Linked DNA regions of Danio rerio. The protein of the gene in region 2 purifies or fractionates together with the protein of the main gene of each other region. This does not show direct contact. Links are inferred from orthologs where the notes say so. Each region holds a gene or a part of one and is shown on either strand. Other genes may lie near its edges.

What was found. Proteins that work in one complex are often made in the same cells at the same time.
Region 1: the proteins of ddx23 (region 2) and sart1 purify together in Homo sapiens (affinity purification with mass spectrometry; 3 studies listed by BioGRID and IntAct, counting the BioPlex papers as one, with this or other methods). This does not show direct contact. The link is inferred for Danio rerio from reciprocal best matches to the Homo sapiens genes DDX23 and SART1.

Annotation. Positions count from the first base shown.
Region 1 is NC_133196.1:30,351,583-30,355,242, reverse strand, and holds part of sart1 (U4/U6.U5 tri-snRNP-associated protein 1), read right to left. Parts: intron 1,726-3,660; coding exon 1,519-1,725; intron 1,427-1,518; coding exon 1,314-1,426; intron 255-1,313; coding exon 109-254; intron 1-108. UniProt on the Homo sapiens protein: Plays a role in mRNA splicing as a component of the U4/U6-U5 tri-snRNP, one of the building blocks of the spliceosome. May also bind to DNA.
Region 2 is NC_133198.1:15,753,885-15,758,290, forward strand, and holds the start of ddx23 (probable ATP-dependent RNA helicase DDX23), read right to left. Parts: upstream 2,857-4,406; 5' UTR 2,793-2,856; intron 57-2,792; coding exon 1-56. Other genes in the region: birc7 (baculoviral IAP repeat-containing protein 7), read left to right, coding at 3,950-4,406. UniProt on the Homo sapiens protein: Involved in pre-mRNA splicing and its phosphorylated form (by SRPK2) is required for spliceosomal B complex formation.

The DNA of each region.
Region 1 (3,660 bases), on a different chromosome or scaffold from region 2:
TCCAACTCATTTGAATATCAAAGCAAAGACCCCTAGAGAGAAACAGATGCCTTAAAAGAAAAAAGGAAAAAGAGTTTTAAATTTGGACATGAAGACGTTTTCTCTTACCCTCATCACTAATGTCCATATCGGCCATTCTAATGTCATCTGACTGCTGGAGGACATTTCTGGACTTGCTGATGTTTTCTATAACAACATCACCGGGCACTGCCTCTTCCTCCTCATCTGCTGCTTTTCTACCTCGACCTCGAGACCTGAGAGCCAGAATGATTGTGTTAAAATATTAGTATTGTTGCTGGAGTATTTAAGCCAAGAAATGCAGGAAAACTGTATTGTTGCCCGAGTATTTAAGCCAAGATAATGCAGGAAAATATGTTTTACATGCACCTTGTCATTTTACATCAACATGTTTTAGAGATTATAATTATTTTATCATAACCTTCAATCATTTTAGAGATTGTGGGCTTTATAGTGTTTATTTTTCGACCTTAAGTGCAGTAAACGTTTAAAATACACTTTTAAGTGTGTCAGGTCACTCACAGTTTAATTACAATGTATTTATTTTCTTTTTCAAAAGCCATCTTCTCAAAATAAAACTTTAGCACCACTAAATCTATACTCTGAAGATTTTTGCAGAGGAATATGATCATACACTATTTGTTTGATTATACATATTACTTTTATGAAACAAAAAGCTATGAATATTGTTTTTCTGAATGCTTATAGTACTTTAGAAATGATTAGTGATAAAAGTAAATTCCGCAGATCCCCCCTATAAAAATCTACTATTCGTATTTGTCAAAAAAATATAATTCTAATGATGATGATACAAGGAGTGTAAATAATTTGTTTATAAAGAATCATATTTAAAATTAAATTTCTTATATTAACCAGAACCAATACATTTAAATGAAACCTCTAATTTTTATTTCTAATTTTCAAGGCTATTTTTATGGCAAGAACATTAATAAATATACAATTAAAAACAACAAACAAATGAATACATAAATAAGATTTTAGGGTGAATACATGATGAAAATTCTAACACTGATAGAAATATAAGCATTCTGAACCAGAGTTCAACAAATTTTTAGATTTTAGTTTGAGAAATGCAAACTAGCTTGTTTAATTAAATCATGCATCATTTGAATATTAATACAGCACCTTAGAAAACTTGCTATGTAAAATAAAAATGTTTGCAATTGTCAATGTAATTCATCAACTAGTAAAGATGTTAACTATTAGTTGATAATTTTTTTTCACCATTTTCACCTGCAGTGTCCTGCATTAACACAACTGAGTGAAAACTTCACCTGGATCCGAAATCTGAGTTTCGAGTGTCGTCAACCAAGAGCTCGTCAGCCCTGGGTACTTTCTCCTTCTTTCTGATTTTCTTGACCTTACGTTTAGTTTTCTTAAAGCCAACCTTAAGTCACACATTAGGGGGGGAAAAAAGAAAACCATCAGTCAAAAATAAAATACAATTTGAATTCAAGCTTGCTGAAATGTGGTTCTCACCATCTCCTGTGGCGTGTAGTATTCAGTGGCAAGAGTGAGGGCAGACGTGCTCAGAGACTGGGCCTGATCGCGCAGACTCTCTCTGATGGCCTGCAGCTCTCGCTCTCTCTCACCTCCAACAAAACCTCCAGAACTTAGCCTGAAGCTCTTTTTCTTCTCCCCCTCGATCTCCTCATCATACTTGGACAGCACAGACTTTGGCTTAAACTGGAAAAAGATGACATAAAGGTTTAAAGTTTAAAAATACTACAGTGGAAATAACAATAAATTATTTTTATTGCAGCAAAAATACTTGATTGTTGTGCCAGAATGAGAATATTGTTCCTAGCCATATTGATTTCATTTCAATTCTTAGTAGGTAATGTATCTACTACAGAAGTGTCAACCTTCAAATAGGAAAATGATCAAAACTCTGAGGAACATGCTAATGTAATATTCAATGATTCAATGATTTAGCTAAGCTAAGCTGAAAGTGCTCCTGCCAGACCAGAAACTCAGCAGAAGGAACTGAAAAATGGTAAAACTCAATCGTTTTAACTTTAGGGGAGATGTAAAATGAATTCCAAAAAAGGTGGAGTGTTTATCTGAAGAACTAGTGAGGACAAAAGTTTATGGTGTTCTTGTGTTGCTGGAATTATGACCAACAGCTGTACTCTAACACACCAAAAAGAACTACATGCGAATAAAATACAGAAAATGATCTAAAATAATCAATGTTGCTCATTCAAAAAAAACTAGTACTTCCAACACACAAACTGTAAACAAAGCACCATTTTGCATATTACATGGAAATATTTGCTCATTTAAATGCTCAGGAAAGATGACATGACATCAGACTTCTCTTGTAAATTTTGGCTTTGCTCGGTTGCTTCATTTTAGGAGAATGTGATGCTTATGTTGCATTCATACGATATTGAAATTATTGTAAACAGTTTCTTGGTCAAGTTTAAATCTGAAAATCTGATCATTTTGATAACCATTTGAAGCATATTTAGTTTTATTCGACAGTGGAATTAGCATGGATGTGTATACGGTTGTCATAAAAACGGGATGTTACATTTAATTTTAAATTAAATATTTCAATACACTATTTCTGTGAGTAATAGATAAGAATAATACTTGTATCCTCGACAATTCATGTATTTTACAAAACAAAGCTCTTGAATATAAAAAGCTCGTAATCTTGTTTTTGCATGAAGCATAGCACTGGAACTTAAGATTACACTGTAATACATCACTGTATCATATTTATTCAAGAGAATGTGTCCTCATTCGATAAGAAGACAACTCATAACTCCATGTGCAGATTTCTTTTGATACAAATCAAAAATAAGTGTAAAAAAAACCTGTATAAAATGAGGTATTTAGCTGCAAAGGAGAATTAGACCATACATTTGTTGGGACATTTGATGACAGCAAAATGAAAATGTCCCCACCCACACTAACTTTTGTAGCAGTTGATACAAATTTTATGAAAAAAATCTAGCTTGTGCAGACAAAAACAGGGCTCGAAATTGTTTTGGTCGCATATGTGCCTGAAATTTCATCAATGCGCACTCAAAATATAATCGGAAGCATTTGTGCGAGTGCATAAAATTGTTGCCGTGCGACCAGTTTTCATTGCAAATTGTTCACCACATGCGTGGGCACTCATGCACAATCCATCTTTGCACCTAAAATGCCCAATACTTGCCCCACTCTCGCCCTTTTCTGATTGGCCCACTGCTCTAGAACTGTAAGTGAATGGACTGGTTAATATCAACTGTCAATCGCTCAAACAATAGCTTCTGCCTTCAGATGACAGGCGCAAAAATGGAAAGAGCTGAAGATGAGAGAACTGACAGATTTTGTTCTAGAAAACACTTAAATTTACAAATAACGGTACATCTGATTAGTGATCATGTGATGAATGCTAATCCACCATTTACACTTTTCAAAAGAGTGGATAAAAGACTTCCATTGAGTTAAAGTCCGCTATAAAATGATTGAAGCATTCAATGTAAAGCAGGTGTGATGGAGTTTGCAGGTAATAGCCTTTGCCACTAAATCTACTCACTTTAAGTGTGAGAGGTTTTATTTAATCCATTTAATCGTCAGCCATGGAAGTGGAAGCTGTATGTAAAATGTAACACCGTGTGCACC
Region 2 (4,406 bases):
GACTCTCGTTCCTTCCCAGCCGAGTCCAGGTCCTTCTTCTCAGAGTCACCAGCCATCTGGAAAGAAGAGCAACTGTGCGTTATGTTAAGGAGGGAGGTATGCACGATATCTTTTGATTGCAATAAACCGGCAAATCGTCAGCTCATGATAAAAAGAAAATTGATTTATAATAATAAAAACCACAATAAAACCTACAACAGACCATTTTCACATGATTGTGATGATGCCTGAAGTTTTAAATATCTTGTTTTTTTGTTTAATATATGTGTTTTTGAGCAGTATAAAAAAACTTAAATGAGATTTTTGAAAGGAACAATGTTTAAAATTTAACACACTTTCAGATTCCTCCCAATTTCAGGTTTTAATTTATCCAGATAAAGGCTAAAGTCTTTTTCATGATAGGACACATGGCAATATTCAATAACTCAATAAAGATATTTAAATATCTGCAAACTACTGTGAATAATTATTTATACAGTGTTCACATTGAATTTGCAGTGGTGTTCAAAACAGCACCAAAGCTTAAACACTTTATTGGAACTTTTCACTTCTGGCCTACTACATGCTGAAATATTGATAGAAATGGGCTAATATTCATTAATTAACATTGTACAATACGACTCCAGTAGTTCACTACAGTAGTTTTGTCGTACTGCGCCTTTAAGGCGAGTCCTCCCCGCCTACCATTTTTACGTGCCTTTCTGATTGCCTTAATCTCCTCCCTCGTCTGCGTCAGACATCAGACAGACTTAAAGTAAGATCTCGTGTAGCGTTTGTGAGAAATACTACAGTAAGAACTTTACCAAGGAGTATTTGTTGTGCAGTGTCATTGATTAGTCACACACAATATCGTTACAAAGTTCACGCGCGCGCACACACACACACACACACACACACCGCAGCAGACACACAAAAACACAAACACAAACACAAACACACACACACACACACACGGACAGACAGAGCACGCTTAGCTTTGCACTGTTTTTTCATGCATATGTGACAGGATACAGCTTAATCTCCACTGCTGTGTGGATATCTGCTATGTTATTGAACAAAATAAACCTGATTTAACATCCCCAAACAGGGATTGAAACGTCTTCCTTTATAATTGTTTTGACACGCAGCTGTGCTGATGAAGTAAAGCTGAAGTGAATCGCTGTACTTCATTACACACGTGCTCTGTTTTAAAACATTTTAAACATGTAAAACTTACACATTAGATGATGATTGATGATCCTAGCAAACTGAACAGATTTTTTATTTCCGGTTGCTTTGCGCACGTCTGGTCTTGTTGACATGATTATACATGTGACTACCGGGAAATGTTAATGCGCACAGCTGTCAATCAATTCGGTGGGCGGGGGGACCGCACTCCTGCGTCAAGTTGCGGTCGATCTAAAAACAGCTCGAATTGGTCCACTGTTTTTATGTTGTTAAATTAAAAAAAAAAGCACTGGGTAACTTTATATCACCCCAAGATCCTGGTCTATACACTATGCCTACACATATGTCTGTCCAAATAGCTTGAAAAGTAGATTTTTCACCATAGGTGCCCTTTAAATTTGGTTATTAACTAACAAAATTCCACTTTATTTTTTTACTTTCATTAACATAGTAACTGTAATGAATCTACCTTTTTTACTGTTGATTTTAATCTATTAACTAACATTAAGCAAGGAAACTTCATCGTGAAGTGTTACCTATTGTACGTTGCAACATTTCTTTTCCCTGAATTTGCATAAAATACAGCAATATACCAATGACTTTGTTTTTATACCTATTTAAAGCTCTATATCGCGATAATACCATATATCACCATAAAAGCTTCAACATTTAATCGGCACAAAAACATTTGACATCATCGTTATCTTATTCTCGAATAGAGGTAAAGCTGGTTTTATATACGCACATTCTGACTTTCCCCTTAATAATACAACCATATAAAAGTATTTGCAAACTCTAAATAGCGAAATCATATTAACTTAGCAGCAAATGACTATCAAAGTACAACATTGTTCACAGTCAAATTGTCAACAGTGTTAATGTTGTTTTCAAGCCACACTACCACTAATTCCGATCGAATATTCAAAGTAACATGCTAAACAATAACGTTAGAGACTTCTAAATAAACAAATGTGCTAATATAAAACCAACTTTACCTCTATTATTCTTGATACACTCACTGCTGTTCTTTCATTTAAACTCCCCGTTTTGCACAAATAAAATATTTTTTGTCAAAGTGCGTTGCTTATTTTGTTAAAGACTGTTCTACTAGCATAGTAACGTTATAGCTTAGATACAGTAACGTTAATTCCTTCACATTTGGCAGATTAACGTTACATAATTTCTGAAAACACCACATGTTCATATTGTTTTTTGAATCTGATGTACACTATAGAAGATTAGCTGCCACATATATTGCTTATATTTTGGAGATTCTTTTCTTATACCTCGGTAAATGCATTTAACAGATTTGACTTAAATAAATAGAAAGGGCCTTTTGTATACCTTAGGTAAAATTATTAACCTCATTTTAGTCAAACTACGTCAAATGTAATCATTAAAACGGGGATGACCATAATAAAACTATAACATTCTATGTGCAATATAACTTGAGATGAAAATAAATTCACTGGAGTTAATAATCTCGCTGCACCCCACACTGAAGGCAAAGAACACGGCAATGGCCAACAGAGTCTAAACAGAAGACTATAACGAGTGAACCTTAGTTATGAACAAACGTTCAGCTGTGCAGTGGATAACAAGAGAAGTTTTGTGCGTTTACTTGCCTTTATTGATCGAAATTAAGGATCTTGCGAAGCCTGTGCGTTTCACTGAGCCGCCATTATGTTTGGCGTCAACATATGACGAACTTCCGGCAAGGAATTGTGGGAGATGCAGTCAAAAACGATTTTTTTAAGCCAGGGAAGTTCAACAACAACAAAACAGTATTGTTGTTGCTGTTCTTTTGTTTTTATACATATATTTTGTGTTGTTGTGGTTCTTGCCTTGTTTTGTACAAATTGTATTAAAAATTCAAAGTTAAAAAAGCATTGTTATTTGTATCAGGCATATAATAACAGTTATATGTTATGTTATATGTTAATAGCATTAAAATAATACAAATTAATTGGTAATAATAACTATTATTATTATTAGCTATTAACAAAAATAATAATATAGAAATAAATAATTTTATAATCTATAACTAAAAGTAAGAACATCATTTTGGAAAGCAGGATTTTCTTTGAAATTGTGCCTAGTTTACCTTTTAAGCAAGGTAATAATAATTTAAAAATGAAAATTAATAGTGTGATAAAAAATGTTGCTCACAAAAAGCAAAAATAATAATCAACACAAATTTAAAGAAAAAATCATCTAAAAGTATCATCTAAAAAGAACATCTCCATCATCATCATCATCATCATCATCATCATCATCATCATCATCATCATCATTATCAGTATTATTGTGTTATTCTTCTTCTTCTTCTTCTTATTATTATTATTATTATTCTTATTATTATTATTATTATTACTACTTTTATTATTATATTATTTTTATGATTTTGATGATGGTGATGTTTATTGTTTTTCTTATCACTTTCAAAACATGTGTGTTTATAAATGTATCAATGAAATATTTCAATATTAATATAACCACAAAAAATATAAATATGCCTATAGGCAAAAGGTGGTCTATGTTCATATGATATCATGTGAAAGTTAGAGAAAATCACCATGAAAGGCGTCTATTGTATAAATTGTTATTCAGGGCTCGGCCACGGGGCAGCAGATCATTTTAACAACTTGCTTACATTCTGGAAATGTGTGCGCTATAGTGAACCGCCGCGCTGTTATTATCACTGGCCGTAATAATAGGCTCTATGGCGGGCGGAGGGGGGGCTTCGGCACACCTGAACAGCCCGCTATGGAAGGTGAGCAGGATGAGCGCAGATCGCGGACACGAGCGCCAGAGGAGCGCGCGCATGGAGGCGGAGGTTCGGCTCGGGATGCGCAGTGAGGAGGAGAGGCTCCAGACCTTCCACAACTGGCCCAGCGACGCTGCAGTGAGTCCAGAGGAGCTCGCACGGGCTGGCTTTCACTATCTGGGCTACGGGGATACGGTGCAGTGCTTCTGTTGTGAGGGCATCCTGAGGCACTGGGTGGATGGAGACACGCCGCGAGGGGAGCACGAGAGGCACTTCCCCACCTGTGGATTGATGAGAGGCAGGGATGTGGGCAATGTCCCGCGGGGCTCCTCTGATTCTGTGGACGGTCAGCTGCTGAGTCAGCTTCAGCGCTTGACCATGGACGAGCAGGGCCTGACCGGACAGGCTGCATACTCGGAGATGGAGACGGAGGACAACAGGCGATCTACCTTCCACAACTGGCCCACAGGAG